2 linked regions of the Drosophila melanogaster genome follow. The protein of the gene in region 1 interacts with the protein of each later gene in a pairwise test. Each region holds a gene or a part of one and is shown on either strand. Other genes may lie near its edges.

Region 1 (16,829 bases):
CGTTTAAAGGCATTTATAGCTACTACATGAAAATTGGAACTTCCGAATTACAATTGGAGCCCCTATACTATTTAGCTTTTAATTTAAGCTAGTTGAATGAATGGATTATATAAATGGATTATATTGTTATTACAAAATATTTCTTAATTTAACGTGTTATCTACAATTGTAGCTAAATTGTTTTTAAAAATCTTTAAATTTTTGAAATATTTTTTCCATATTTTTTATAGTATTGTTTCTTTAATAATCCAATATGAATTACTTCTTAATTGGTTGTTGCAAATATCATGCGACTAACTCACCCCAAAAATGCAACCACCACCCTCTGACGAACAGTTTGACACACTGCCGACCCATAAAATCCAATTAAGCATTTCCGGAGCATTCAGCTTTTTGACATCAACAGTTTAAGTGTCCCGGTCCAGCGGACAAAACGTTTCGGTTAGATAAGTTGTTAGCCGTTTGTGTCTTGGCCCGTTTATCACCGTTGCTGCTTTGTTTCGGCTAACTGTAGCTCATTTCGAATGCGTCGAGGGGCAATCTTAATTTGTCTTATTTGAGTTTGAATTTATATACACATAGTGATCGAGTAGCTGCCGTCTCGGAGCTTTTGTTATTCCTTATTTGTGTGCCAATGAGCCGGGCTCGTGTCATTTTCAATGAACGCCAGCGAGCGTCATCGTCGCCGGCACTTCTAATTAAATGTTGAGAAACCCGAGCTTAGGATCCGAGATGTGTCAGATGCCGGCGGATGGAGATCTAGCATCTCAAGCTGATGAATCACGACGATATAGCGTTAAAAATAAATACCGAATGTGCTAAATGTGTATACATACATATACATATATCGCGTATAGCCCACGAGCCATAACATTTATAGCGTGTGCTGGCAACAGCCATTACGATTGTAACCGACTTTCGCGCACACGTCGACTTCGATCGGTTCCCAGCCCGAAGTCGCTATGGTAATTGTCTACAAATAGAAGCGAGCGACGACCCAAGATCCCCAAGCGAACCCAAAACCCCCAACCGAACTGCAGCTGATCCCCAAACGATCCCCAACCGACAATCAAGAATAATCATGTAAACGAAAAGCGTAATGCTCGTCCCACGAAACCCACGACTACCACGATCCAATCAATGATCCATAAAGCGCTAACAAAAAAGCAAGAAACAGAAACACTGGCCCGTCTCGGGTTGGCCCGATGACGATTCCACAATTATCAGCGTGCCATAAGCTACTGCAAAAGGGTGAAGGCACATGGCAAGACTTGAGACCGAACCGAACCGAACCCAACCGCACCGAATTGAAGCCCAAAAGACCGGACCCCGACCATAGTCGACCATACAAATGAATTGAAATGCAAACATCTTGTTATGGATGGAAGGCATGTGCTCGCCTCGCATCGTATCTGGGATCCCAAGTCGCACAGACCTCTTAAAGGCGGCCCGTCCATCCGTCCGTCCGCTCAAGAAAGACGGTGGACGGAAAGACGAGGGACGAGGGATCGTACAAGACCCCAAGCATGCACAATCAGAAGAAGTCAGGCCAGCCGTCGTCATCGTCGTCGTCGTGGAAATCGGCTGCGAAACAGTTTCCCACGGTATAACAATCACAGCACATACATAAGGAGGGAGGGAGAGAGAGCGAGAAGGCGCAGCCCGCTCAAGTCATTTTATTGCCCTCACATATACAGGCAAAAGTATACAAAAAAACAGAAGCCACCACCACCACTACCACAACCAAGCACCACCAAGCCATCTGAAACCACCGCTGGCAACAGCAGCAGGCCGCGCACGAGGCAAAATGAGTGTCCCGCTCGCACTCACTGTCCAGTTCCCAGGGCGGCAGAGGCTATATAAAGCCGATCCCAGAGCCAGCCGACTCATTCAAAGCTCCGACTTCGTTGCGTGCACACAGAGTCTCCGAGTCCGAATCTAGTGGAACGTTGCGACTGTGGATTACGCGAGTTTACTTTACCCCCAATAAAAAAAAAACAAAACCAAACTACAACAAAATGGTTCTGGAAATGGAGATGTCCAAGACCTATCAGTACCGCAAGGTGATGAAGCCCATGCTGGAGCGTAAGCGCCGTGCCAGGATTAACAAGTGCCTGGACGAGCTCAAGGACATCATGGTGGAGTGCCTGACCCAGGAGGGCGAGCACATCACCCGGCTGGAGAAGGCCGACATCCTGGAGCTGACCGTGGAGCACATGAAGAAGCTGCGTGCCCAGAAGCAGCTGCGTCTGTCCAGCGTCACCGGTGGAGTGTCTCCGAGTGCCGATCCCAAGCTTAGCATCGCTGAGAGTTTCCGTGCTGGCTACGTTCATGCTGCCAATGAAGTGTCCAAAACCTTGGCCGCTGTACCCGGAGTGAGTGTGGATCTCGGCACCCAGCTGATGAGTCACCTTGGCCATCGTCTCAACTACCTGCAAGTGGTGGTTCCCTCGCTGCCCATTGGAGTGCCTCTTCAAGCTCCAGTAGAGGATCAAGCTATGGTCACTCCACCTCCCTCGGAATGCGACAGCTTGGAGAGCGGAGCCTGCAGCCCGGCGCCCAGCGAGGCCAGCTCCACCTCTGGCCCCATGTGGCGTCCCTGGTGATCAACTGGACTCCGGATGATATTCACCTGAATCGCCTTCAAGCGGAAGGCTTCTACAAATTTGTTGCCCCAAAGAGGTGCTGGACTTGAAACCGCACCGAACTCCTTGGAGATCATCAATTGCTGCCCAGGAATAGCTTTCCCAGCAGCCCAGCAGAGCCACCGATCATCTCTAGCAGAGCCTCAAATTTCGGCTATAGAGATGGCTGCTGCTCACTTCTTAAAGTCATAAAGAAATGAAAATAAATGAAATTCCAACTCAAGAATCTCTGCATTTACTTATTTCCCATAGAGCTGATTACTCAGACTTCCCAGACATTTAGTGGGCGTCCAACCGCAAACTAAAGCAACTAAAAAAAAGAAACCCCTTAAAACAAGAAACGAATTGGAGATAAACTCCGTGGTGAACCGAATCGCAGAGCCCACAGCCGGAAGTCGCTGAATATTTTCCCACACTCGGACTATCGTCTGGTCTCTCCGGCTTGGCCTCATTATGCCCCGAGAATTCGGATTGCGAGGGTATGCGGGGCTTTCAGGGGGCATACAACATACATACGTATATCTGCGGGAAGTTTTGCGCCGGCGCTGTCGCAATTAAATAATAAAATAAAGCAAAAAGTCAGTTCTAGGAAACGGCATTTATTATGAGGCCCGCCGAGTGTGAGAACCGCGGCTCCGCTGTCAATGGCTCAGCATTGTGGTCATTGTGTTTCGCTTTTTTTTTAAGATTTTGCTCTTTTTTAGTTTTTTTTTGTTCAGGCTTTGACAGCTTTAACTGCGCTTGACCGCTTGGCACATGCGCGGACGGACCGGCGGTCAGACATTGCAAATTAAGCCCGCGACCGCGACCGTCTCGGCACTTAAGTCTTAAAACTCCAATACTGTATGGGTATGGATAGGGGCTGGGATTGGGGTAGGGGTATGGGGTATGTGTATCGGAGTGCGGTTCGATTACGGAACCTCGGATTCAGCGCCTTTGTCTGGCGGACAACTATGATGATGACTACTTACCAGGTCGTCTCGAGTCTGGGACCGTTCAAGCCGTCGCTGATTGCTGTTAATCTTCAGAAAATGTTATTAGTCACGTAACATTGGCATCGAGACGGCCAAGTTAGCGCTTCTCCGCTTATTTTGTGCTTTTTTTTGTTGTGGACTACAAAACGGCTATTTATAGGGCTCAACGGTAGTCTGCTGAAAATGGGTGATCTATTTTGCGATGGACCAGTTGAAAGGCGATCAGTTCACTCCAAGATTGACTAAGTGCCGCAATGTTGGCCATTGCCGGGGGCTAATTGGATGGCTTCGTTGGCGAAACTGATCTAGAGGGGTTCCCATTCAGCTTGTCGGCTTTGGTTTTCATTTATTGCCGAAACGTGCGTCATTCATAAGAGGTTATTAAATGTGATGTTTGCTGACTTCAGAGTGGGTATCATTTCCATATCTATCTAATACCTGATTAACTCAGGAACAAAAGCCAATGATGACTCAAAATTGGTTTGCTCATAACTAGAATATTTCGTAAATTCTACACTGTAGCTTGCAAATAGCTATTATTAAACAGCATATAACGATTGCAATAATTTTTGAAGATTTCACCAAAGGTTGCAATTATTGAATGATCCCATTCCATGTTTTCGACCTCACCCAACCCACTTCGTATCTTGTGACAGGAGGTACAGTAGAGCCCACACGTCATCCATCACGTGACCTCTGTGTGTCGGTGGACCCCCAATCGCAGGCACCGCGGGTCCGGCCACCTACTTCAGTCATAATACTCCGCACGCCGCTAAGGTTTAATGCAGCCATATTAAAGTAAGCGCAAGACCACCACTTAATAAAAGAGAGGCGGCGGCAAACCGGCCTGGCAATGGGCTGTGCATGGAGGCTGGAGGATGGGACTGGGATGGAGTCGGCACTCGTGCCTCGATCTTCATCCACTCCCATTCCCATTCCCATTCCCATACCCATATCCAAACCCATTCCCCATACGATCCCATACAAACACAACCTGTGGGCAGCTTGTCCAGTGGCAGCAAGAGCGTGTGCCAATGTAGTGTAACAACATCCCATATTAAAGATATTACAGAGTCAATAGCACACCATATAAGTGTGGTTGGGTGCCTCTCCAGCGCTCCAATGCTCCGACGACCAACTCCTCAACTCCCCAACTCCCATACTCCCCAACGAGCATCTCCCACTCCGATCACCATAACCGATCTCCTCGTGCATCCCGCTCGCTCTCGCTTTTTGGTCATAAACCAACTAAATTGAGTTCGTTCAACAAAACAGCGACGCATGCGCCGAACCCCGAACCCATAGTTGTAGCCCCTGAAACACCTCGTACCCCTTTTCCTTCACAGATCACACGGCGCGCTCTTAACGATCGTGTGTCCACAGTCATTACAATGTTGGCCAATGCACAAAAGTCGAAGCTGAAGCTGAAGCTGAGCTGAGTCTGCGACTGAGACACACTTACCGCACGCTGCTTTTCTCTTTCATGTCGATCCATAGCCATATAGCCGCAGCTCGAGTCGGTCGTGATCTTGCCCGTAAGTGGTCTTGTATCTTGAATTCGTAAAAGTACACACACACACACGCATTGAGTGGTGGCCCAGCCAGACACACACACACACATACAAAAAAGGGCAGGTGTGTCGATCGTGTGAGAACCACGTTCCAAACCATTTTCTCACGATCTTCGCTTCTGATATTTAGTTTTTTTTTTCTGGCCACGGTCCCCGGTCTTCAGTCTTCAGTCCCTTCCCCTACCTAAAAAATAAGACCCTTTCTTTGGGCCTCGGTCTTCGAGTGATTCGTATGCAGTTTGTGTATTGTAGTTTTTAATGACTTGGGCTTGCGTTCGAGCTCGATCGCCGGATTGCCGGATTGCTGTATCGGGGGTTCGGTTACGTCGCCGCCATTCGTTCATCATTCATCGGGTTTACCTATAAGATTAAGTATCTTTTGTGCCAGCATTTCCTTTTGGCATTTTGGGTGCGATTCCTCCGCATGTCCCTATAACCGACTTTTTCTTATTGCCCATTGTATGGTATGACAACTGGGCTTGCTTGGTTTGGTTTGGATTGGTGTTGGTCCTCTTATTGTCGAGTCCATAGTTGTGTCGCCTTGATCGGATCATCCAGGAATGGCCTAGGATCGAAAGTGAGCTATAATTTAACATGGCTCTTAAGGAGTGTCCATTATTACACTTTATGTTATCCCAGGGTGGAAGTGACATCCAAACATTGAAGGAAATGATCTTGTTCAGTACATTATAGGGTTTAAGATTACACAGAATTTGCAAGTGAAATACAAATATTTTTAGCGTATTATCTACAAAGGATATCTCAGAAGGATTTAAACAATTTAAAAAATTATAAACGTTTTTTTTTAGTTATTTATAAGCTAGTAACCATAAGCTATAAATCTTATTAATTTCCATAAATAATTGCTGGCACACAAGAAAACAAAAAGGACGGAAATGTAAAATTAAGTATAAACACTTAGGGCTGTTGTGAAGAAGATCTTCTTAAAGATAATCTACTTTCGGCTTTAGCAAGTTAACAGAATTTTAATCAGCTGAAAAATCTCTATAAATTTAGTTCCTTTTTAAATTTATTACACCCCGCCAGCACAGACTAGTCCCAAGCCAATCCTGATACCGATCTCGTTGACTATTCCCTCGATCTGCCCTGCGTCGATTTTTAAGACAGAGGCGTCTGTGAATCGGCTACTGGTCTTGGCACACAGATAACCAAATGATGCTGGGTCAGCCAGATCAGAAAAAAAAAACGAAAATCAAAAAAGGCTCGGGCAGAGCCCATAAAAAAGAAACAACAAAAAAACCGATATCCTGTCCCCGGCTGGAGCTCCTCCATCTTAAAGTTGCCCTAGGGCAAGGCAGTCATTTACCTGATCCGAAGCAATTATGTGCCCATAGCTTACCTTGACCATTGTGCACACGATTTTCTATCCGAGTGGCCAGGGAGAATCACGGCAACAAAAAATTGAGGAGAACAAAGCGAAATCAGGACGGATGCGGGATGAATGATGACTCGATCCCTTTTTTGGTTTTCGGTTTTTTTTTCGGGTTCCTTGCCGGCTCTATGCCCATTTGTTTTCTTCTAAGTCTGAGCGACATTGTCGTAACTCGATTAGATACGCTCAAAGATAAGACTCTAATATTTTCTGTTACCTTCGCTTATTGTCCGCACACGTGTTGGAGTTGCAACCACCAACTGGCCTATAGGCTATGTCCCGGTATCGGTAGCCCCGGCTTTGGACTTTGGACTTCTTTCTTCTCTCGTTCTTCTGCCTAATTCTTCTTGTTTCGGCCTTGGCATTGTTTTCGCTTTCTTTTGTCCGACGATCGTGTATGTGCATCCGTGGGGCGATCGAATAGTTACAGGGGACAGAGAGAGGTGCTATTGCGTTTCTAGCGTTTCCGTTCTAGACCGCAGACAATTGGAAACTGTCTGGACATGGGAGTGTCTGAGCAATTTGCATGTGAGTCACTAGATAGTGGCAGAAAAAGTCGTGATCTTTCAATTTTAGCTATATAATTTATTATTTATTTAGTTATCACATGAACTGCGCGTCCTCATCTAAAGCTTTGTGTGTTTATGGTGTTTACTTATAACTAGGTGGGAGTCGACTGGTGGAAATCCAGTGACTCGGAAGACTTTTACTTTCTATGATCTCTCCTTCGTTTTTTTTTTTTTCAGTTGTGGTGTGAAGTAATCCTATCTACCAGGGACGCCAGACGTTCTCCTCGTCCTCGCTGTCGTCCTCCATCTTGGTCACATCGATGGTGGTCAACAGGGAATGGCTGGTCGAACTGGTATTGGAGTTGGGACTGCCGGCGTAGCTGGAGATTGGCGAAATGGGCACGGAGTAGGCATCCCGATTGGCGATGTGCACGGAGAGTGGAGCGGTCACCGGCAAGACTTCCTTTTCTGCTGGCTGGATCTGATTGAGGCGCTGTCCCAGGTGGGTCATTAGCTGAGTGCCTAGGCTGACATTCATGCCGGGCAGCTGGGAGAGTGAACGGGAGACCTCATTGACGGCATGGATGTAGCCGGAACGGAAGCCCTCCGCCGGAGTCAAGCTCTCATCGCCGGAAGCCCGCTTGTGCTGACGCTGCTGCTTCATCTTTTGCAAATGGGTGACGGTAAGTTCCAGGATATCGGCTTTCTCCAAACGGGTGACGTGCTCGCCCTCGGACTCCAAGGTGGCAACCATAAGATCCTTTAGCTCGTCCAGGCACTTGTTGATTCTGGCACGACGCTTCCTCTCCAGCATGGGCTTCATCACCTTGCGGTACTGATAGGTCTTGGACATCTCGGACATTTGTAGCGACGACATTTTGTGTGTTTCTTATTGTTCTTTTTGTAGTTTCGATGTAAGCTGAGTTCTTTGAGCTCTTGCTGCTCCGACAGTCGAAGTCGTTGTGTGTTGCTAGACCTTCGGTGATCGGCCTTATATAGCTGGCCAGAAACAACCCCCAAAAAATGGGCCAAAGGGATCGTCGTCGTCGTCGTGTGTGCTGGCATTCGAGGAGCAAAAGGGACGGGGACACGCTTCGTGTGCTGGCATGAGGGTTGCTCGGTACCGACCCTTCCGCTTCTTGAGACCGCTCCTTATTGTTCGGGCGATTTCTTATTGTTGGCCCCGGCACCCTTATCAAACGGGCCAGGGAGCAGGATCGCTGCCAGGATCGTGGGAAACACTTTCCTACTCGGTTTCTCACATCGACTCGCTCACCTGCCCGCAAAAAGCAGCCGAGCATGGCCACGGCCATGGGCATGGGAATTTGCAGAGCGAACAGCTGCCGTTTCTAGATTTGTGTGTTATGATTTGACTATGGCATGGCAGGGTGAGGGGCATAAGGATAATGAACTGCTTGCATTATGCCATCTCATCGGGGTCCTCCGGGGTTCCCACGATAGCGGGGACCTCCGCCGGGGGATGGGGATAAGGATAAGGACGAGGCGTTGCGATTCCTCGACAACTTCCTGTTTACCGTTGGCATTCCAAATTGGATCGGGTTCGTGTTTGGTGGCAGAGGAAGGGACAAGGACAGAGGCATCCTGCACTTGTTGGTCGGCTGTTATGATCCTGTGGGAACATTGCTCGTGTGCGTCGAGTGCGCTTAATGCGTGTACGACTTCCCGATCCCCCCGACCCGGCAGGACCTCTGCCTCTCCCTCCATCCGCCATGTAAAAGGGGCCAGCGATGCTGATCCTGGAGCGCTGCTCGCGTGTGGCTCGCTGTGGACACACTTTCGGCTGTAAGTTGCTCGCGTTCCAGGACCTTTGTAATGGATGGATGGTTGGATGGGTGGTGCATTACAGGGATTTGTAAACGGAGTGGGGAGAGTTCAATTGACTTGAATTCAAGTGGACAGTATAACGGTATTTGGTATTTAGAATTATAAATTATTAAAATTCCAAGGAAAATATATATTTTCTATATATTTCAAATTAGATTTTAGAAATATATTTAAATATATCTGATATATCTTTTATATCGAAGAAAGCTAAATAAGAGCTTATAAATTATAATTATAATATAATAATTATATATATTATAACATTTTGTACCTATGTACCTATGGATTATAGCAACCTTGTTTATGTTCATATTCCAAATAATATAAAGCTTTTAAAATTTCAGTTTACGTTCATTTTATTATTCAAATGTTCATGGCTTATACTTAATGGTGTAAAGCGAAAAATATAATTTTAAAACATACACAAAAATTTGTTCTTAATGAGGCTAAGTGGAAGCTCGGTGGGGAAGCTCTTGCAAAGTTGATGAAATAAATTACAATGAATTAAATACATGAATCAGTAAGCCTATGGGAGATCAAATACAAAATACGAACTTAAGAACTATCACAGGAACATCACATCATATCAAATCAACTACCAACTAAATACGATTCTGAGGCAAATGTTTACACTAGACCTTGGAAAACTTGGATTGTTTCTTAATGAAACTGAGTAGTAAAGCTATCAATGTTAATTGGTTGCGTATATATGGAATGCCCTTCACCAGGGGCGCCAGACTTCTTCGCCATGATGAATATCCTCTTCTCGCGGAGACTTTGAACGTTTTTGGTCGGCTAGATTAACTGGTTCTTCGGCCATATCGATGATTTCTTCTTCCTGTTTCATGTCCTTGAGCTGGTGACCCAATTGCTTCATCAGGTGGGTGCCGAATTTGAGATCCAAGCCGGGAACCGTAGAGAATATGTGCGAGACCTCGTAGGCAGCCTGGGTGTATCCGGCCCGAAATTTGTCCAGGTTAACTTGGTCGGGTGGTGGGGATTGAGGATTGGCCACTCGCTGCTGCTGTTGCGCTTTCAGATAGTTGACGGTGAGCTCTAAGATGTCAGCTTTCTCCAGCTTGCTGACCTGTTCGCCCTGCGCATCCATGGTGTCCACGATGAGATCCTTGAGTTCGTCCAGATACAGGTTCATCCGGGCGCGTCTTTTGCGCTCCAGGAGGGGTTTGGTCACCTTGCGGTAATGCTGAGTCTTGGTCATAAATCTCTGACCCTGAACGGCCATTGTGTATAATGGGTTTTGATTTGGTGTGGTGATTGTTTGTAAATAAAGTTGCGATGTTGCGATGTCGCTGCTGCCGCTCCGCACTGCACGGTAGTCACTTGAGAAATGATCTTGCCGCAAGGTAAGCTGATCCTTTTTGTAGCTGCTGGTGCCGTACACTTGCGAAATCGAAATCCTCCCCTAACTGCCACCACGCACTGCGATCACAACGCTCCTACACGCCGACGATCACAACGAAGCATCAATCGGGTCACTCTCTGCTTGTGGCAAGATTCCCTCGGCGTTGCACGTGTGCAACATCAAAAAAATTGGATCGGGCGGAAGCCGCTGAGGCTCTCTTCTTGCACTGAAAACAATCCATATGTGGCAGAGAACAATTTTTAAAATCTATACTTTATATAAACTACTTTTAAAATATACAAGTTTCGAAGCATACTCTTTGGATGTCCATTCTGGAAACCAAAGTTTCTCATGCATCTAAAGTATCTTACAACGATAAGTATAAACAAAGAAAAAATAGTTTTATTGTACTTTAGAAACTTTTATATATTTAGAAATTAATTTATTTTTAATCAAAGCTTCTTTAACCTTGGTCATAATAGTAGAATGCCTTAAAGTTATTTTCAGTGTATTGACTAGGGTCCAATAACACGTTCTTCGGATCTTCGCCCGAGCTAGTAGCGCGCTCTCTTCGGGCGTCTCTCTTCCTCGTGCTGTTGCCGTGCGCCGGCGCAACAGTCTGAAGAAGGGTCTCCGAGGAAGAGCAGGAGGAAAGAGTCGGAGCAATCAACCACCACCACCAGCAGCGCACCACACGCACACACGACATCAGCAGCGACATGACCTCGACCTGCCTGGCAGCCATCCGTGCTCCCTGGTTCCCACTTCCCTCGAGAAAAGAGAGCCGAGCCCCATGCGTGCCGTCCTCACTTAAGCCAAAGAGCCAATCTTGTCGAGGCAATGCCATTGTTGCATATGGGTGTGGGTTTCTGCTTGTATGCGTGCAGGTGCACTGGAAAAAATGTTGTTTTGTAAACTGAAATATAATATTCAGAAATATGCAAAATGTGCATAAATAATATATTAAATTCTGTAACTAAACTATAATTTGCATTACTTTGCTTTAAAAGCAATGCAATCCCGAAGTCTTTATAAGCCATCTTTATAAGTTGCTAGTTTAGAGTTCGAATTTTCTTGCAGTGTGGCCTCTTCCCTTTTGGCGCACAGTCACACAGACCTCATTTCCTCTTTGGCGCGACATTGCGTTACACTTACGGGCACGGAGCACCATCATCAGCAGCAGAAGCAGCAGCAGCAACCACCGCAACAACCACCACCACCAACGGGACGGCAGCATAGCACCACCCAGGCAAGCGGCAAACAGCCGGTGCTGCGATGGGTCGGTCGGTGCATGTGCATCGTGAGAAAGTGTACTGGAGACATTCCCACAAGTATTGGGATTGTGCCGCACTTCTGCTGCCGGTTGCCCGGTTCCTCGGCCTCGGTCAGCTGTGACACTTGTTTGGCGCATTTTGCGAGATTGGGTATTCGGGGATAGGGCCATTGACGAAATCCACCTGCCCGAGGGTGAGTTCCAGTTCAAATCCAAGACCAGGGGTCGCTGCAATCGCAGCCATGAAATCGAGAAGTTAACAAACAGTGCAGCAAGGCACCGGCGACATTTGCTGACATCTGATGGCACTGATTTCGTACATTTCGTTTCCAGTTTTCTTCGTGGGGGAGGTTTCTGAGATCATCAGAGTGGCAATGTTTTGATATGGGTATTGGGACGACTTAAGGAAGACAGCCATATGCAAAAACAGGGATTTCAATTGCGCCAATTTCCATGAGGGAAAGATTTTAAGAGAGAGATTTCAATCTGTTGACAATGATGAATCATCCTACTTTTGAAAGTAGAAGAGGAGGATCAAGGATCATAAAACAAAAATTAAGAATCGTTCCGAATTTTAATCTTTCCCAATAAAAGAATCGTTCCGATACTCAATAAACATTTTAATTGAAAGTATATTCATTTGTTCGATATTGTTGTACATTGATAAATTTGGGACATTAACATTTCATAAATATCTTCAAGTGGCTGTAATTTACAAAGATACATATTCGTTTAATACACATATAGCAACACACACATATACATTTAGATTAATAATAATGTATAGAATCCAGTTCCATTTTTGCGCATCTAGTTTAAAAAAATGTTCTTGTTTAATGCGGATAACGCCAAATACAGTTTAAAATCCATGTGCTAGAAAGTAAGTGTAACGGACTAATTTGCTTCGTTTATTGTTTAATAAGAGGTACAAATGTGTAACGTTCGTAAGTTTTTATTTTGGTTCGATTCATTTCGCTTATCATTTCTATTTCGATTAAAATCTTTGTTGTGCTTAAAACTAAATTATATTTAAAGCGGACTGGGTCGTTTTAAGCTTATTATCGATTAGTTTTTGGTGTTTCGGAAATTTCTTGGAAAATGTGCTGATGAAATAAATTAGTAAGGACTAATGAGAGAGGTGAACTTGGTTTAAAAGTAAAATTATATAGAATAAAAAAAAAAAATAAATGCCATCAGATACATTTGCTGCGGGGAGATTCATCTATAATACAAAGTAATGCAAACGACATGTGCAACATGCCGTCTTCTTAAAGCTTTAAGTTATTCTTGTTCTTGTATTCGTTTCGTTTGATTTTGCCTTTAATCGCTTTCATGGTTAACTCCGTTTCGCCTGGTCGCGGTCATCCTTTGAGGAACTGGTGGACTTGGTGTGCCTAGTTGCAGTTGTGGGTTGCAAGCATTAAAATGTACAATCGGTAATCGTTTAAAAATATTTCCATTCGATATCTTCTTCTACGGTGCTTATAGTATCCTCGATCCACTCCCTTCTACACATACAAATATATACATTCTGTTTACATACATCAATACACGCGTTCATTTCCTTCTTTCGCATTCAGTGGTCATCGCTTCTGGACATTCTATACATACATACATACATATATATATAAATATTCTATGATTTTGTACGACATTCTGTGGGGGTTTTCACGTTCTCTAAAAGCACTTTTTAAGCAGATTTAGGAAACGCATTACTTTTGCGATAAGTGTGGTACGTCTAGTGCGCGGGTTTGTAGTTGTTATTCATGCAGCTGAAAGTAAGACAAAACTTGCATAAACATATCGAGGGAAGAACAAATTGGGGCGAAAGGATATTTGGGGCAAAGAAGCAGTGAAGATTATTCAATTTACTTAGACTTACTTCAATTATCTATTGGCTCGTATAAAATATAGTTGTCAATGAAAATATATAAAATCTTGATGTATTTTCTGTGCCTAGTAATTGTTTTTAGCTAAATTAGCAGCTACCGATAACTAAAGGTTCTCAGCTATTTTAACTTGCATTAGTTTTATATACTCTTGGCATGCATTTATCAGAAATATATTTTGGGTCTTTGTTTTAATTTAGCTATCGTGAATTATTTTTTTTTTGACTGTGTGTTTTAATTTTTGAACAACAAATATTTATGACAACACTACTCTACGCTACAAAAGGTGCTTTCAATTCACCTACATTATGTCGAAAATATGTTGTAAATGCTTCAAGGTACCAGATTTATCATCAATATAATTCTCAAATCTTCAACATCAATTTGCTAATGCGTGTAGGATAAGGTGCATTATCTAGTGTAAATTCATTGGATTTTTTTTTTTTTTGAGATTAACAATTTGCATATTGGATATTGTGTTCGATATTACAAAAGTGAAATCGTTTGGAGTGTTGGGACAATAATTCCATTTGGCAAAGCTTATATAACTACGAAATACATATGTTTCCCAATCATGGTGTTATTTTGTTGCATTGTTTTCAGCTATTCTTATGTTGTCTTAAGTTGCAGTTTGAATATTTTCGTATTTTACTTGTGGAACGTTCAATGTGATGGACTGTCGTTAATTCGATGTTTGGCGCGTGATTTGCTGTGTGAGGCGCGTCGCAGGCTGCTGACGCTGCCTGGGCAATTGTCATAAAAATCTAATGATTCCGATGAGAATGCTATATATCGCAATTGGTGTGATATAAAGAAAAGGTTAAGTTTGAGTAAATACTGTTTGTAAAAATCTGTGTTCATTCAATGGGTCTTGCTATTGAAAAATAAACGCTATAGATTAAAGCAATGAATGCATTACGGTATAGCTTGGGCAAAAGCTAAAGATAAATCTACAGGATACTAACCTTTATCCGTGGGTGATCCCAGGGTCAGGCTACTCAGACTGGAGCTCAGGTTGTATGGACGCGGAGATGGTGGCACCGGCGCGGATTCGTCGCCTGGCAAACAGGTCTCAACCATGGCCTCCAAACAGTTGACAAACAGCTCCGAGGACTCACCCATCATATTGTACTAAAAATCAATCAAAAATAAATCATATATTCTTCGGAATACGCATTTAAAGCACCCACCTTGGTGAAGGGACCAGCAAATCGCCAGAGTCCGCCAAATCCACAACTCTGCAGGAAGTGCAGCTGCTGCTGGGAAGGATCTTCGCTGGCCAGCATATTTTGTATAATGTTCTGCACAGAGTTGAGCACCACTTGGTCGTGTGACACTGACAAAATGTTGTTTATCTTTTGGTCCAGCAGTGAATGGCTACGGTATCAAACATATTAAAATAAAATTTGTCGAAAAACGTTAGAATTGTATAGACTCACATAACTGGAAACACCTTTGGAAAGACCACCGATCCTTCGGCCAAATACTGATACAAAACCCGCGTTTCGCCTTCATCCGAAGAGTACTTGACCAAGGTGGCCAAAACAGTCAGTACCAGGGCTTGAATGGACAGGTCAGGTAAGACCTCGGGATCGAGCAGTACGTTGGACTCGTTGGACACCGACGAACGCGAACCGCGTTCCTGTTCAAATACATATTGATTTGTAATACAATTGATGTGATATTTAATTACACACAGATATGGTAAAAAAGTACTAGTGAAGATGAAAGATCTACGATATATCCGAATTGTGCATTTTGGCAATGGGTATAGTGAACTGGACGGCTTTTTGACTGCCTTCATTCGGTGCCATGCAAGAGTAACCAAAACAAATGACATTACAGCGAAACATTAATGACCTCATTTTAGTATGGGTTTTAGTAGCAAACTTAAACATTTGATTTAGTGGGGTAGTAGTTAGTTAGTCTTAGCTAAGAGATAAGTTTTGTTGAGCAGTACCTGACGTTCTTCGATGCCGGTGGCATTGTTCGGATCTTTGGTCGTCGGCACCGAGAATGAGCGTTGAGTTTTGAACAAAACTCGCGCGTTCTACGGAGTTTAATTTTGTGTTCGGGGTGGTTGTTGATTTTGCACAGTGTTGATGTTGTAGTTTTAGCGGGTTTCGGTAACCAAATCAAACGTAAATCAAATGACAATGTTCATGCGTAGTAGTAGTAGTAGTAGTAGAAGTGGCAGGTGGCAGTTACAAGTTTGGAGTTCATATAGGACATATAGTAATATCGATATTGATGAGAGTTACAAGCACCAATTAGATGTAAGATTCGGCAGGCAGATTATGGCATAAATATGGTTTCAACGAGTATACATTGTGATTTATATGTAACGTTTTTTTTTTATATTCAAATCAAACATAAAAAGAGAAAGAAAAAAATCATTGAACGATTATTAGTTATGCAACGGCTGATCTCAATAGATAGTTGATATTACATAGTAGATGGGATATATAGGATATATAGGTTTGAATATATAAACTCAAATAGATAGCCAAAAGTTACCATAGCAGATGGTTATAACAACTTTTGCACAGCAAATTTCGAACAAGTGGGAATTACAGCTTGGCTGGATAGTTCTTATAAGCTCACCTGAAGAGTGGGAACCTTGTGTTGGCGGGCAAACTGCAAGGCGGACTGATCCAGGATGTCCCAACTTTTTTGACGGCGTGACAGGGGCAGGCCGATCTAAAAGGAATGTCAGAAATGTCATTGATCCCCTGTATGATTTCATTTCTTTTTTTCAACTAACAGCTTGCACTCCGCCGGATGCTTCACCATTTTCCACACTACTACTCAGATCGGCTGGCCAGCGGGGAAGGGCATGTTTTACGTGACATCTGGAACGGACTTCCTCGGAGACAGCCACCAGCGCAGTCAAATAGGCCACACTGTCAGGTGTTACTTCGAACTTGTCCCGATGCAGGGGTTTGGCTATTATGCCCAAGAGCATCGTCAGCACACGAGAGGTGCGTGAGACGGTTGTAGGTGTAGGATGGCGGAAGCCCTGTAAATTATGATATCCGTAGATTAAGAATAAGTTCGGTTAGTTCAAAACGTACCTTAATCAAGTGTCCCACTAGGGCAAAGTGGAAATTGCTGCGGAAGGAGAGGCCGACGGCGTGATCCAGTTGCTTGAAATGCCACTCCAGCTTTTCCCTTGTCTTCATCATGACCTCGGCTATGGTCTCCTTCTTGTCAAAACAGCCCTGTGACTTAAGCGTGTGTAGATTTTGTTCAAGCAGAGCTAGTCCAGCGCCGTACAGGGTAATCTCGTCCAACTGCAGCACCGAAATGGCCACCCAGAAGAGGGCCCGATGAATGGGCGACTCTGGTCGGAGTAGTGGTTGAATGC
Region 2 (17,018 bases), on another chromosome or scaffold:
GGGATTCAGTCCTATGTTAACCACCTTAGTGGGCACCCTGGTGGCCATGGCATTGTACGAGTATTGGCGCAGGAATAGCCGGGAATACCGCATGGTTGCCAATATACCATCCCCACCGGAGTTGCCTATTTTGGGACAGGCTCATGTGGCCGCCGGCTTGAGCAATGCCGAGATCCTGGCCGTTGGCTTGGGTTACCTCAACAAGTACGGAGAAACCATGAAGGCCTGGTTGGGCAACGTCCTGTTGGTGTTTCTAACCAATCCCAGTGACATCGAGTTGATCCTGAGTGGGCACCAGCACTTGACCAAGGCGGAGGAGTATCGCTACTTCAAGCCCTGGTTCGGTGATGGTCTACTGATCAGCAATGGACATCATTGGCGTCATCATCGTAAGATGATTGCCCCCACCTTCCACCAGAGCATCTTGAAGAGCTTCGTGCCTACATTTGTGGATCACTCAAAGGCGGTAGTTGCCAGGATGGGCTTAGAAGCGGGCAAATCCTTTGATGTTCATGACTATATGTCGCAGACCACGGTTGACATCCTGTTGTCTACCGCCATGGGTGTGAAGAAGCTTCCGGAGGGTAACAAGAGTTTCGAATACGCCCAAGCCGTCGTCGACATGTGTGATATCATACATAAGAGGCAGGTTAAATTACTGTACCGCCTGGATTCCATCTACAAGTTTACTAAGCTTCGCGAGAAGGGCGATCGCATGATGAACATCATCTTGGGTATGACCAGCAAGGTGGTCAAGGATCGTAAGGAGAACTTCCAAGAGGAGTCACGTGCGATTGTTGAGGAGATTTCTACACCTGTTGCCAGCACTCCCGCTTCCAAGAAGGAGGGTCTTCGCGATGATCTGGATGATATCGATGAAAATGATGTGGGCGCCAAGAGGCGATTGGCTCTTCTAGATGCCATGGTGGAAATGGCTAAGAACCCCGATATCGAGTGGAACGAGAAGGACATCATGGATGAGGTGAATACAATTATGTTTGAGGGCCACGATACCACCTCGGCGGGATCTAGTTTCGCCCTCTGCATGATGGGAATCCACAAGGACATCCAGGCTAAAGTCTTCGCCGAACAGAAGGCCATCTTCGGGGATAATATGCTGAGGGATTGCACCTTTGCCGATACCATGGAGATGAAATATTTGGAGCGCGTAATTTTAGAGACTTTGAGGTTGTACCCACCAGTACCACTTATCGCCAGGCGTCTGGACTACGACCTGAAGTTGGCCAGTGGTCCGTACACGGTTCCCAAGGGCACTACGGTCATCGTGCTGCAGTACTGCGTGCACAGACGTCCAGACATCTACCCCAATCCCACCAAATTCGATCCGGACAACTTCCTACCCGAGAGGATGGCCAACAGGCATTACTACTCCTTCATTCCCTTTAGCGCTGGACCCAGAAGCTGTGTGGGCCGCAAGTACGCCATGCTGAAGCTAAAGGTCCTGCTATCCACCATCGTGAGGAACTATATTGTCCACTCCACCGACACGGAGGCAGATTTCAAGCTGCAGGCTGACATCATCCTAAAGCTTGAGAATGGATTCAATGTCTCGTTGGAGAAGCGTCAGTACGCCACGGTGGCCTAGAATCCAGAAATCTAGGACCCCGACTACACACACGCAACCCCGAACCCGAAACCGGAATCCAGCCCTGTATATAGATGATGAATACCGATGAATATCCCAAACCGAAAACTTGATGACGAACTTATAAATCTAAAACACCGAATAAGAACCCAACGCACAAGCCAGCCAGAGAGTCAATTAATTTTTCTTTCGTTTTTTAACTCGTTACTTTTATATTTGATTAATACCTTTTTGTTTGTTGGTCTTTAGCGAGTGGTGCCCCTATATAATGTATACGTATATACTATATATCCTTTTAACCAACTATTCAACGCAACTGTTTGTGCTCTTCACCTTTTTAGTACTCCTACTTTTACCACTATCTATACTTTTTTTTCGTAGCCATGTAGTGTGATTTTTTTTCTTTATTCTAGTATTTATTAAGTCAAATGGTTTAAACGAAACCCAAAAAATATGAAAAATACACGTATGCGAGGCACGTAGCCGATAGAGCTGCAAAACAATTGTAATTGCACATCTTGTAATGTTCTCCTTCTGGGCGGTCGTAGTTTCTACGAACTTGGCTAACATGCCAAACTATAAGAAATTTGAATGCAGATAGACAAACCAAGTGAACAAGTCGACTTGGCTTATGATTCTGCGGTTTTCCAATCAACAAGTTAATGCGCTAATGCGAGGCAATCGACGGTTTGCAAACTGCTGGCAATGTCATAATATTGATTCAGGCCGCTGTCCTTGGCAAGGTATTTTCTGTTTTACTTTATTTCGCTCGCATTTTGGGTACCTGTTCATATTTGTTAGCATTATACTGATCTTAAGTCGACACCTCATTCGATGGGCGATTTGTAATGCGATTAATCGGATGCAGATTGCGATGCTGACAAATGCGAATGCTATTGTGTCGGAATCGGTAGCAGTTTATCGCGGGTTTCGCGGTCAATGAAAAGGAGGTGTATCGGAAATTCGTTAGCCTTCTCTTCTTGTGATTAGCTGAATTCCGCCGTTAGAAGCCGGCTTTCCCTTTTTTAGGCAATCGATTGCCGAATATCAATTTACAAAACGTAACGAGCCGAAACGGAAATCCTTTCGGTTTCTTCCGTATTTCCTGCCTTGCTGCATTTGAATTATGAACCCTTCTTTAGCATCTTCGGCAGACATAAAAAGGGGCATGAAGCAGGTCCCGAAAACCAAAATTCTGTTTGGTCATTGTCCTTTTTGCGCTAGGCAAATAGCGGCACTACCTGCGGATCTGCAACCCAATCCAATGTCTTTGGGCATCCGGAAGTTTGTGCACATTCGTTCTATTTTTTATGGCGGAATTCCTCAAACACGCTAACTGGATATCAGATTGTGGTCTATGTCCTTCATGCGTGACACTCCAGGATATACTTTGATGACCGCCGGTTTTAAACTCGCACGTGTACCTAAAGTTTTGATATTTTACCATTTGAGACTGACACAGTTTGATTTTGCCTTGCCATTCCTTGGCATTTCTCGTTGATAGTTTAAAAAACGGTAAAAATGATTTTTTATAGTCTCTTTAGAAATTCCGTAATGGGTGGTCATTGCAATCAAACGAAGTTGAGTACTGAAAGCCATTTTCTAAAGGGATATGTTTGGGATGGAATGTGTGGCCTTGTATTGCTTCCCCAACACAACTTCATTTATAGTCAAGAGAAGGTAAGGCCAAACAAAGAACTATTAAACGAGGAGCTGCATACCAGGACATCTCAATCAATGCAAAACTGACAAAATACCGCTCCCTGGAGTGAGCGGGAGTAAAAATTGTGTCTGTCATACAATTGAGCCTGGTGACTCAATGCCGATACTGTACTTCATACTTAGAATAATCCCAGTGGCCACCCTGGGTGCGTAAGTCAAAACATGGGAATATAGTCCTAGGACGACAGGGTATGAGGCCGACGTGGATTCAGTGACATTAGAAATATGTCCTGGAAAACATGTGCAACCAGACCTAGGGAGCAGTCTCGCTTATTGCTTCTAAAACTGGACGACGAAAGTCACATGTGTTATCCTTAAGCATCTTGCTTGGGGCTCAATTAACGAAAATTGATGGTGGTTAAAAATTTCGAAATATGTGTATAGATGTGGAAATAAAATGGAATGGAATTGGCTCAGATCTGTTTAGCAATTCGCAGATCATCAATGGTTGAAGTAGAAAGTAGGGAAAATTATGGGAGAGGGCTTAGGCGAACCGCAGGAGGTACTAGAAAGTGTTAACCCGCTTTGGGTTTTAACGGTTGTCCAGAGTTATTTTTTTGACTTGGTTTCTTGACCCGCTTAGGGTTTTTGAGCGCGGAGCGCACACTTAAGTGCTTCATTGTGGGTTGAAGTACGTCCACTTAAGGACTTAGAAAAACTGAAAGCCGTCGAGTATAAGTATCTGCTTAAGTCTAAGTAGCTCGGCTTGACCGGCAGTTAGTTTCGGAAGACACAGTATTACGAATACTATTTGCCAGAGAAGTCTCTCTTTGGTCCAATGCTGAATGAAACGGAAGGATGAAATCCTTGAATGAAAATATAACCTTGCCAACTGGTTACTGGGGATCAGCGGATCAGACCTCAAAACCATTACCGTTTTCTTTGAATATACAATAAGCGAAGGTAATGATTGCTAGATGACATGGTTTTCCAAAAATTATTAAAGATTTAAAATTCGAAGAAATTATTTTTTTTTTCGTGTCACCTATCTCAATTACGAGATCCATCGAGCCAACTCGGATTCGGCGGGTCAAAGGCAGCATCTGGTTCCCGGGATAACTGCAGTGCAATGTGCCCAGAAATTGGATAGTCAGTGGATCAGAGAAGTAGGGGTGAATCCAATCAAGTCAGCGGCAAGAGCATGCGCACACGCTAAAGTGAACTTAAAAACAGACGGCATTCAGTAATAATGCATTCATAGAGGCGTGGTCTAAATGGCATAATGGGGGCACAACTTAAAGCGACTGCAGCACCCAGAGCTACGAAAGCAAATCTGCCGATCGAAGGATACGATAGGGCTCATATTCCTTATCGGTGCTAAGCCTTTAACATTCACCAAAAACACAAACAACAAAAAGACGCACATAACGGCAATGATTTCCCAGTTCAAACAGTAAAAATGCGAAATTCGACCCAAACTCGGAGGTGTACGGTTGAGGGGCGTGTCGCATTACCAATATTTAATAATTATAACGGTGCGTGAACAATTTTCACTGCTAACGGTGAACGGCGCACCCACCACACGACCAAAAAAAGAATGATAGGAAAACACCTTTGCACCTGGATGGAAAAACTGAAAACTGTTGAAAAAGGGGGTTGCAGGCGATCTCAGGCGCTCAGGAGCGCGCCAACACATACATATACACAGCGAAAAAAAAAAAATAGTAATGGAGGAAAAAATGCCTCGCCTTGTAATTTCGACCTCAAAATAGATCGTGTTGTTTCCTCAGTGTACTACTTAGATTTCTTTGGTTTTCGGATCCTGCAGATGCGAATATCATTTGGCACAGGCCATCTATTCTTAATGGAAAACGATTTCAATTGATTTTCCTTACAGTATGCCTGTCTTATGTAGTTTTGCATCATCCATATCCATTGGACCGGCCCTTTCTTATTTTTTTTTTTTTTTGGTTTTTCTTCCGTTTTGTTTTATTTGGGCAGATGTCCCAAAAAAAGGGACGGGTAGAGAGACATGAGAACACGTAAGCACAGGACAATGAAGTCCTGAGCACAATTGGCAGGAGAGTATAGCGCCAAGTAAAAGTGAGGGTGAGTAAATATCGTGCAAAATAAAAGACGTGCGTGAAGGCTTGGCAACTTTGTATAAAAAAATATATTACCATTCCCTTAAATATCATTGAAAATATTTTCCAAATGTTAATGAGGGTCTGTGTGGTGAGCATGACAAGGTTTTAAAACAACTTCAAGTTTGTAGCCGCTATTGGAATTTCAAGCTGTTTTGGCTTTTCACTTCTTGACTTCTATGAGGACAGACAGACTAGACTCTATTTTTAAAAGCAATTCGTTTGATTTGCGGTTGCCGGTTAGGTCCTAAATAATAGTTCACCCTAAAACCGCTTTCTCTCAATTTCCCTAATATTTATTTTGGTGCGTTTTTAATTACTTGTGTCATTATGAATCAAGGCACATGTTTAAAAAAGAACCGCTAGAAAAAAATCCGAATTCTGTCATTCTGTCACAGAAGGAACCCCATTTTGAATATCGAGTCAATAAAGCACCGGAGATATACTGTGCCATAAGACACTCTCTAAAATATAAAACACCTTTTTTTCTAAAATGTGGTACAAATTATAAATTGTCATTTAATATACCTAATTTTCGTTGAGAAATAAAACCACAAGAAACAAATTAAGTTTTTGGAAATGTTCATATTTATTTGCATTTATTCAAAAGCATATATTATCTGCTTGTCATTTTAACGTTCCTACAATTAAATCTATAAAAAAAAAATATGGTTACACAAATACATTAATTTTTGTTATATACTAGACACTCTGTTAGTCCGGCTCAACATTAAGCCGTTTATCAGGATAACTATTTTGTGGTTGGGTCTTACAAGGTTATTTCCATTTGGTTTATATCACTAGATGACTTTAAATATGTAGTGTTCATACATTCATTTTGTCACACTCTTTCAGAGGATATTATAATATGTCTGAAGGTAGCAGTGAGGCATTTCCGACCCCACATCAATAAATATTCATGATCGGCATGTCTGGTGATATAAAAGGTGACTCGGGCAGGATCGATCAACAATATCATACGTACAAGTACCATAGCAAGAATCAAAAATGTACATATATTTTATAGAATTTGGAGAATATACAAATCTTGATGAAATCGTAAATTTGTGATAAACTTCATCGAAATTGTGCGAACTTTCATATTAAATACATGGTTTTAACAGCAAAGGTATATAAGCTTCGGCTGGCCGAAGTTATCCTCCTTTCTCGGCTTAAATTGATATTTACACAATGACTCAGTCATGGCTTGATTAAAAAAAACTTTAGATAGAATGGCCTGCCACAGACTTATGCTGTGAGGATTTAAAATCATTTAAAAAGTATGCCAAAAAATGCAATCGGCTTTTCCGAGATGCGTGATGTGAAAAAATTCGGCTAAACGGACAGATTGGTGCATGCACCATTAGATTTAGGTGCATGTGCCTCCCACCAGTCAATGGCATCGATCATGCTCTCGTCCGAAAGGCAGCCAGCGGTTGTATTGTTGGGCTGATCTTGCTGCAAAATATCGCTGAATTCCTTCTTGAATCCGGGAAGGACTACGTTGTCGTAGAAGCTCACGGGCTCCTGGTCGTAGAACGCGGGTAAAATAGGCGACGATCCCAGGTTCTGAACTTGCTGCTGCTGCTGCGGGGAAGTCTGTGCGTTGCTGCTGCTGCTAATGTTGGTACTGACGTATTCCTGTTTGATTACTTGCTGTTGCAGCGGTGTGGCACACGTCTGTGTCTGTAACAGCAATTCAGTCGAGGCGACAGGTGAAACTGGAGAAGAGCAGGGACTTCTTACCACCTTTTGTGGCACGGGCGATCGCGATAACTGGCCCGAAGCAGCTGTTTCTTCAAGTTTTTGCTCGTGACTCAAATCGCCCAATAAGTCAGTCGTCAGCAGTTGGTAGGTGTTGGTTCCTGGTATTCTGATGTATTGCAACCCATTTAATGTAGTCAAACTAGGCAGGAGATCACTGGCTTGCGGAGGGTTTAGCATATCCTCGGATAAAGTTTGTTGGACAGTCTGTTGCTCATCCATTTCGTAGTTGCTCAGCGAGTCGTCGAAATGTTCATCCAGACAATCGAATTCGTCCTTAATAAACATAAAGCTATCATCGCCGGAACCAGAACTATTCCCCTGACTGTTGAGAGGTGGAAAATCAAATCCCAGCAGTTTTTCCAAACTTCTTATGTACTCTACGGCCATGCGGAGGGTCTCCACTTTGGATAGCTTCTTGCTTGCTCCTCTACCCGCCCCCTGGGCCTCAAAAGCCTCAGATACTTCTTCTGGGATCTTCTCCCGGAGTAAAGCAAATCCATTGTTAACCTGCTTCACGCGATTTCTTTCCCTAGCGTTTCTACGGGCAACGGCTTGTGGCAAAGGCAAACCCTTTCTTCCAGGAGTCCCAAAACTCTGATCGCTTTGGCTTTTATGAGGGTGGCTTATAGTTCCTGCTTTTGGGGGCCTTTCAACCGCCAACTTCTTGTTGGTCTTGCATTTTTTAGCAGGCACTGATGTTTTACTAAGCTGTTGATTCTGCTGGTTGTGCCGGTTCTGCTTTTGGGATTCTCCCAGGGGCCTCTTCCGTTGACTGGATATGGGTGTGGTGTTAGTTGTGCTGGCTGCGGCACTTTGAACAGCGCCCAGCATGCCAAAGTCCCGGATCTTTCGAATAATGGTGTTCTGATTGGCTATATGCTGTTGCAAGGCGTTGGCGCCACTCTCACTTAAAACATTGTGAACGGTAATCTTTCCAAAAGGTTTCAACGTGGTTTTTATTCCTGGATTGGGGTTTTCCTTGGGGTTTTCTTTTGGAGGAGGTGATGGGCTGAAGCTTAAGGCGGCCATAATTAAGTTTTTTGATTCGTGGCTTTTTGAGGGCGGGAGAAAAACTGGTGGCGATTGCGGGTGTACTTTTAGCAAGTTAGTCCTTCTTGAGTGAATGTTAACTGGTGACTGATGTAATATGGTTTCCGTGTCCTTGCATCAGGACAGCTGCTGGCGCTCTGTGTCGCGTGCCCCTAAACTCCGAACTCAAACTAAAACGCAAACCCAACGGAAGTGACTTCGTTGACTGACATACACAACACAGAGCACACACATACAAAACAGAAGGCATTTGAGGTCCTGCGTATCCCTTATGTAAAGGGCCTGACTTTTCATCCCCTAGACTGGGTGTCCCTTCTCGATCGCTCACACATACACCTTTATCATATATATATATTATATACAGTACGGCTTTTGGGAAAACTAACATCTGATCAACTCGAGCCAAAAAGTCCACCTGGTTCAAGGGTGGATTTCGCCACGCTCTCTCTCATTATTTATCGGCAGCAAACACATTATGCTTATATACCGCCCCTATTAATATATGGACATTATAATAACCATATACGTATGCATATAATAAAAAGTATATTCCCTGGGGAGCTTTTTCAGCCCTGGTTTTCAAGGAATGCCCTACCACCTAGGAATTTGCAAAATATCCTAATAGATCACCTTAGACCTCCAATATTCGTCATGTAAAACGCAGAAATGCATCGAATCTTTATTTTTAGCTTATAGCTAAAACCAAGGACTGGTTTCTACTTCATTCGAAAAATGTCTCGGGATCACCTATTGTTAACTTTTCAAAAACTCGTACTGGATAATATATACATATATTTACCAGGACTTGCATTGGCAAAAACATTTTCCTATTGTTAAGCTAATAAACAGCAAGTATATACTGCGAAAGTAATGTCTTAGGTAATTCACAGGGCTACAATTTATGTTGGAAATTGACAAGATGCCAGAGAGCCAATTTAAATCCTTTAAGGGGTGAGAAATCACCCATCCTTCTCTACATTCTTGTTTTTTCTACGTCTGGCAAAAAATTTCTGGCAATTAGTCCGGTGGGAAAATAATTTTACCAGTGCTTTATTTCTATAATCTATTCTTTTTTTTGGAGCTTAGGTCTATCTGTGCAAACAAGTTTTCGAGTGCTACAATAAACTTTTTTGATCCTTCCTCTCAGGTAGTTTCCAACAAACCTGAGTAAATAGAGGAGTATACATATGTGTGTGTGTTGTACTTGCTGCACAATTTATAAACTTGAGTTCACTTAAAAGGTTCAAGGAAAAGGACTTGAGCGCAGGATAACCGGCGGGGAGAAGAAACTTGCGACGACCGACTACCGGTTTTTGATCCAGGATGCCACGTCCTCATTCCTCATTATGCAGACGAGCTCTCAAAGAAAAAGGAGTCAACGCTTGTGCGTACTGAGGAGTATTTGAGTACTGGGAAGTACTGCTCGGCGTCCTTTGTTGTCCTAGAGGATTTGACTCGGTTGCGTCCCACTTTGACGACGCATCGCAGCACTCATCTCAAGGAACTGTTCCTTGCCCCAGCCACGCCTTTCGTGCACTGCAAGAAAATAGTTCATAATTAAATTAACCATACATAAAAGTAGCGATTCCAAAAATATTACATGTAAACGGTTTCAAAAAAGTTTTGCCCCAAGACGCGGCATACCTTTTCGAATTTACTCCCACGTTCGTAAAATTAAGAACCTGCGTTGTAGTCCTGTCACTCTTTTTTTTATATATTTTTTTGGCTGTTATCTTTGGCGGATCGAAATGTTCCAATCTAGGCAAATACAATTTATGAATGGTTTCTGGTTTCTGGTTTATTTGCATTTTAAAAACGCATTGATTTCAATGGGAAAATATCTTTCGACGAGAGAAACGCCAAATGGTAATGAAACAGATGAGTAAACGGAATTGACGCTAGCGTGGAAACATACTGGATCCTCCATGATTTACTGAAACCTGAAGTCGTTCTATTTGGCTTGACCCTCCAAAATCGTAAATCAATCTGCCAACGCATGCAAGTCGCTTTGATTTTCCAAAATTTAAGTTCCCTCTTCTTTTTCCATTTTGTAACCGGAGAAAGGCGCCGGGTGAATATGTCCTGGGCCCATATTCTGTGTGTACTCGTCGTTGACTCAAGTGGATCCTTTAGGATGCTTCATCATTTAGCATCTGTGCACAGTTGTTCGTTCATAAATTGTTTTACCGCTTCTTGTTTTTTCATATTATTATTTCGTCTTTCGAGTTATGAGTGTTGAAAACTTGATGGAACGGAAGTCTTTCCGTGGAAGTCCTTGAAATAACTTTGGAGTCAAGCACTGGGGGAAAAGTGAAAGGACCCCAGCCGAGAACTACACAAAAGGACTCGCTCTACGGGTGAACACCATTTTTGGGACATTGTTTAAGGAAATGTTTGTGACGATGCCTTCTAATTATTACATATTCCCCCCATCGGATCGTGAACGAGTTACAAGTGACCGGTGTACAGATATGTAACTCTTTCTAACTATAAACTAAATAAAATTAGCCAAAAAATTAAGGAAAAGAGTTACTCCCGAATCATTTCTGCTATTTATTTAGCGGCAAACTGTGTCCCGTCCTTGCAGCAAAAATGAGCGGGTGCGGGCTGTTTTAATACCTCTTTTAAACAATACATGGGGAAATAGCGAGTTTCTATTTAAAAACTGCATTCGACTTTAAAGTGAAACTCACAATTCACGCTGATCGGAGTGGTAAATTGTTTTCAGATCGCGCACGTGCCTTGTGCTCTACATAAATGTGAGTGAGTGTCTGTGTGTCTTCTACCTGAGATCCTACACAGAAAAAAACCATCTTGAAATAAATGTGGTGAATCATGCAAGAAATAAATACGCATTCCGTCGTCGTGTTCTTGTAATGGATCTTTTTTTGTAGCCGGATTGGCACGTCTTTTCTTCTTTTATAGTGATATCTAATATTACAAGCATTATTCAAATTTTTTAAACACTTATATTTTTGTAATATATTTATTATATTAACTAAGGACACCATCTTATATTAATCCATTTTTAAACAGTCGAAGAGTGCGTACGTGTTGTATAGTTTTCTCTGTGTGTCGGGGACACTTCGACCAAACGCATGGTCTTTGGATTTTAGGGTATCGGGGACCTTTGGCGCGCTTTCGGGGGTATCCGAGCAATAATAAATTATCCTCACCCTCACCTGGCTTCTCATTTTTCCTTTCTCATCTCCTTTCTCGCTTACTCTCTTCCCCTACTGCTCCCCTCTCTTTTGAGCTAGGTGCTGTTTCTATCTTATCCGGTATCGATCCTGATCAAATCTGGACATATTTCGCTCGAGGCTTAAGGGTACATAAGGGAGGACTATAATTTAGGCAATACACAGTGGAAAAGCTAAGAGTATATGTACATATGTGCGGTGTATGTTCATTTAAGCATACGTTAAAAATGAGAAAATATTTTATAGCTAAGGCAGGCCTTTTAACATTACATTTTCGTACATACCTCGAAATTTCTATTGCACGTTAAATGATTTCTTGGTCTAATTTGAGTTTATCCCAAAAACAAGTTTTGTGGATCTCCCTCGCATTTGCTCTGGCTCCCTGTCGTTAGCCCCTTCCCGCTCTAATGCCCTTTGTTATGTTCATATACATAGAGCTCCGTATATTCCGTATGTATCGTGTCCCGTGCTGGGGTCGCTGATCGCCAGCGATCCTGCATCGTCATTCTGCCGCGAAAAACATCTGCTCCTGCTGCACAGCAATCGTTCAACAGCTCTGCCCTTCGTCTCTTCTGCTCTGCGATTGAACTCAGATCTCTTTCTACGCTTGCTGTCTCGCTCCCTTTAGAGCAACCCCTGTGCCAGCAAACAATGCCAACAGGAAGGTCCTGGGCATTAAGTTCCGGCAGGATTAGGGGTGTTTGCGTTAGGGATCGCTGGTAACTTTCGACCAACAGCAAAAGCTGCCTGAAAATCGGCAATTCAGCCTGTGGGTGGAACTCGTGAATCAATCCATATGGGCTTGAATTTGTGTAGTTCTCTCGATCCGTACACCTCTTACATAGTTTTAAAAACTATGTAGTCCTAAACTATTTTTCACTTCATATATATGTGATGACAACGTGACCCCAGGACGACGTAAAAGCATCCTTGCACTTTCATATGGGTTGTTGTGCAGCCCGATGATTTATGTTCGAGGGTGAATCCTCGAGAATCGGGAGCAACAGGATTGCAACTGGTTACGAAATTTTCTACAAACACGGCAACAATGAGCACATTTATTTTTGTGAACAATCGGGAGTGAAATAAAAATTATATTTGAGTAGCCGATTAAATTAAATGCCGGGAGGGTGGAAGTCATTGTTCAGAAACCTGTTGGCGTTGGTGAAAGAGGGCGGTGGCGGGGCAGTGGGATGCGCATGCGCAACGGTTTTTTATAAAGGATTCAAAGCCGGCGGCAATGCAAATTTGTCAAAATTCACTCTTCACACACTTCCCTAAAACGATGATCGGATATACATGCACTTAACGTAATTCTGACTAAAAATATCATGCGAGAGTATACATTATTAGCCACACTAACTAGAAAAAATACAATTTGTACAATTTTTATTAAACAGCTCACGAGTTATCTACGCCCTACGAACGACATTCTTTAATTTGTGAAAAAAAATAACCTTGCCCACTCGGGCTTTACAGACATATTTCTGAGCGCGTGTCTTCAGTTCCTTCGATCCCCTCGACCCCTTTACCTTATTGAAATTCACGATCCTGTACCATTTTAACAACCCCTTCAACTTGCAAGCCCGCTGACCGCACGCGCTGCCAGTTTTTAAGGCTTAAAGCCGTGCCAGTCGCAGGTGTCTGCTGAACTGGTTGCGTCCCGCCTTTGTACCATCTAGTTGGATAGGCGGTGACTCTGGGTCGGACCCCACCCCGGATTGGTATATGGTAAAAGTTCTAGGAGGTTTTTACTTCTACTCTACTACTACTTTGGTTGCTTAAATATGAAAACAATTTTTTGAATACTTGAACCATTGTAATAAGGAAGCTGTATTGGATGCTGTCGTAGCCGAAGAAAAAACCTGAAAGGATTAAAATGAGTCTAAGAGATTTATATTATGAAGTTCTGTAAAATGTTTATTTTCTAAGGGCAATTTATTGATCAAATTCTTAAAGATCTTTTCTGCTTTGTGATATGAAAAGCCTACAGCACTTAAAAAATACTGCTTAAGATTTGTTGAGTCGGATAATAGTAGACCAGGGAATTTAGCCATATCTTTCCTTTGCAGAACCGCTTTAACCTACTTTTGCAATTCATGAAGTTGAATTGCAGTTTTCGCAACAAAGAAGGACGATTTTTTTCTGTTTCTATTATGTGTAACCCCTTTTCGACTACTATGCTATACTAATGATTAGGTTTCTTGTGATGTCTCGTTGATTCCTTTTTTCGTGATTTGTTTTCAGCGTTGATTGCCTACTTATAAACTCATTCAATTGCTATCAGGCAAATTGGCAAATAGAAAAATTTACGCACCGTTGAGTTCTTTTGCCTTAATTCCGCATTTTTTCAAACTATTGATTTTGGTCGGTAAGTTGCGGTTAGGCAGAGCCGAAAGGATCTGGCTCCGACGAGGATTTAAATGCACTCGAGTGATCCTTTAAGTGGGACTTGTCTGCTGCTGCTCGAAATGCGTCAAAAGTAAATTTCAGCTCAAGATTACACAGCGATTGAAGTCCGCCGAAGCTAGTAATTTAAATTCTGTCGACATCAACCATTGGGTACGTTGGTACGGCACTTTTGGCATGCGGCACACAAGGACTCTACGGATGTTCAACGACTGCACTGCAGCCTGTGGCCCAAAAAACTCCCCGCTGATAAGACACTTGTGACCGACATTCGTTTCTAGGGGAAAAATATGAGTCTTTTGATAAGATTACCGAAAACATAGTTCTTGCCAGCTGCTGCTTATAATAATATAATATAATGTTTATAAATAAGCCTTCCAGGCCAACAATTTTTAAAATTTCTTAGTTACAAGAGCTTATAAAAAGATGTCAAATTAAAAAATGTACGCAAACCTATATATTAAAGAATATATCTAGGCAGAACAAGTTGACAAATTGTTTCTTCGCAAATAGAATATCTAGTTGCTTTCCAAGAAGTGTAAATGCATTTGATGTTTTTTGTGTATTTCGCAGTCCTTTATTTCCAAAAGATTAATCAGAAAACTCCTTTTCTTTGGCAATTTCATGGAATTTAATTTCGGTACTAGAGCTCTTGTCTTTTTATGAATCCACTGGTCCTGAAATCAAATCACTCCCCTGTTCTTTGGACATTCGAATCGAAGAATCAATGTTTACCCAAAACATGAAAAGGAACAGGACAAACGCCCCAAGCAAACAATGGCATGCTTGGCCATTCAAAAAACTTCTTTCTGGCATTGTTGCGTGATTTTTTTGCACTTGTTTGTATTTCTGATCAATTAAAATTGTTCCCCCCGCATTGTTCGTCCTTGCTTATTTCCAATAGTTCGTGATATTTGCTTTTCCCTTTCTCGGTTTGTGTTGACTTTGCCTGGCTGAATCCTGGGTTCTGCCGGTTGAATGTGCCCACATGCTGGGTGTTTTTACAAGGCATAGAATCAAATCCAAGGACTGCAGTGCACTGTAAGAAATTTAATAACATAACAGGATGAGGACATTTGGATGAGCCCATTTGAAGAAGGTAGGGAAGACGGTTCTGTCTGAAATAATGTTTATTTTCCTCACGAAAAGGGCTTCTGTTTTGTTCAGCCAATGCGAATTTTTTTCGAGCTGCAGCCACAACATTTTCAAAGTTGCAGAGCTCAGGAATATTGCGCAAATATTGCATTATTGCTATTCAGAGTGCCTCAGCCTGTGTCAATAAGATATATCATCGATTCCTGCGTCCTTTTGCATTGTCTTGGCTTTAGCCACAAAAATGGGATAAAATAATCACGGATCCCAGCTTCTGGGAATTCATTTGGTCCTGTATATTCTCTCACGTTTGTTTTGGGAAAATGAATTTCCCCTCTTTTTTCGAGCTGCAAAATTTCAGTTCGTGATGTTCGACTGAATTTTGCGATTTTGACGCGTTTGGTTTTTTATGCAATTTCTCACAGGATTAGACCTTCTGAGAAATTTGTAAGCAATGCGAAAGGACTAACAAGGCAGAGGGGATATTTTTTTAACCCGTTTTCTGATCTGATAAAGGTGTTGGTTAATGTACAGATTTCGGTAAAGATAGAAATCCATAGTTTTATAAAACAAAACATAAATGAGCTTTTTATTATCTTATATTTTAGTTTATGACCCGTAATTATTTTAACTTAATTTTATTCGTTCTCCTGCTAAGTAATACTATTTGTTTTTGAGTCGAATTATTACAGCACTTTCGATCCATCGATTTGGTATTAATGTACATATACATATCTTATGTATTATGTCGCGTGTCTCTCAGTAAGAGACGAGACTCCACACTTGAGAGTCCTTATCAAAACGTCGGCGTGTCTCAAAAGGTAACATTTTTCATCAGAGGACTTTGCCGACAAGTATTCTTCAGTAGTCTCGAAAGATCTTGAATTCGATTCTCTGGCATGTTTGTTTATTTAACTGTTCACAAATTAGACTCCCTGTAAGGCAGCTATCTATCCACTTGACCATTTGTACTTCGGGACGCGCCTATTTAGATAAGGATTTTTTCGTCAGGTCTGCCGATCTTGGAATCTACTTTACCCTGCGGGCTAGCAGCCTACCAGCCTGATCATCCCAAATCCCGGCTTAATTGTTAATGCTGAGTGAGATGTTCTGCTTTCTGGAGCGCAACGACTCGTTAACATTTAGCGAACCAGTCGAGCAGCCCACTAATTAAGTCATTTTGCCAGATCGTTACATGGGCAGCGGTAAAAAGACAGAAGTACACATAAAAAAACCAATCTTATCAAGCCTAAAGCTAACATTGAAAAAAGCATTTTTAAACAAAGGTTTACTTTTTTAAGCCATCTGAACAAGTCAAGCTTGCGTAATGAAAAGTTGAAAATTTATTCCATTGTTAATTTGTTGAACGGCCAACATTTCTGAAATCAAACTAAACAGACATATTGGGAATTTTTTTTAGTGTCGGGGCAAGGGGCGTGGCTGAGAACTGCTCTAGGAGAATTTCTGAAACCCAAGCATAAATTCCGCATTCAAGTGTTGCTCAAACTCGAGTTCGCAAATCAGTTTTATAATGGGCCCCGGTCCGGAGGACCCGTGGACTCGGATACAGATTCAGATTCGGTTTCTTTCGTTTGATGTAGCTCGGCGCTATCGTAAGAACCTCTTGGGCCACGCGGATAGGAGTGGGGGTCAAGGAGTGCGATAAACTGTCCAAGATTGTTGGCGGCTAATGAAGGCAGCGCGTAAAGTTCATGATTGGCATAGACCACACATTTAGCCCGGGAAATGAAGGGAAGGTAAGCTTCCGAACTCGAAATCATCCTTCATTCCTTCGATTTTTCGGTGGCTGGTTAGAAGAACCGGGGATTCCCTTTCATCGGCTGCCTTGTCGGACTAATTGATTTGGCTTCCCTCGATGAAGGGACCACCTTGTCGTTCGCTGAGAATTTTCCTTAATTTTCGGTTTTTTGCAGTCACAAGGCAACCTAATTAGTCAAGCAGTTAGCCAGGCATATATACAGGTGTACGGGTCGATGGATTTCAAGATTCCTTTTCTGTTCCCGGAATCTTCTCCCCGCCTTATCCGCTGTAAACGTCAACAAATCAATTTGGATTCCTTCATTGAAA

What was found.
Region 2: the proteins of E(spl)mgamma-HLH (region 1) and ase interact in a two-hybrid assay, tested with the Drosophila melanogaster proteins (one study listed by BioGRID).

What each region holds. Positions count from the first base shown.
Region 1 is NT_033777.3:25,991,083-26,007,911, reverse strand, and holds E(spl)mgamma-HLH (enhancer of split mgamma, helix-loop-helix), read right to left. Parts: upstream 8,062-16,829; 5' UTR 7,970-8,061; coding exon 7,352-7,969; 3' UTR 7,151-7,351; downstream 1-7,150. Other genes in the region: E(spl)mbeta-HLH (enhancer of split mbeta, helix-loop-helix), read left to right, coding at 2,019-2,606; E(spl)mdelta-HLH (enhancer of split mdelta, helix-loop-helix), read right to left, coding at 9,659-10,180; CG43116 (uncharacterized protein), read left to right, coding at 11,020-11,159, 11,381-11,738; Nf1 (neurofibromin 1), read right to left, coding at 14,126-14,247, 14,428-14,593, 14,653-14,839, 14,902-15,104, 15,423-15,512, 16,067-16,162, 16,227-16,481, 16,537-16,829. UniProt on the Drosophila melanogaster protein: Transcriptional repressor of genes that require a bHLH protein for their transcription. May serve as a transcriptional regulator of the Achaete-scute complex (AS-C) genes. Contributes to the neural-epidermal lineage decision during early neurogenesis.
Region 2 is NC_004354.4:452,146-469,163, reverse strand, and holds ase (asense), read right to left. Parts: upstream 8,418-17,018; 5' UTR 8,209-8,417; coding exon 6,748-8,208; 3' UTR 5,988-6,747; downstream 1-5,987. Other genes in the region: Cyp4g1 (cytochrome P450 4g1), read left to right, coding at 1-1,606. UniProt on the Drosophila melanogaster protein: Involved in the determination of the neuronal precursors of optic lobes in the central nervous system.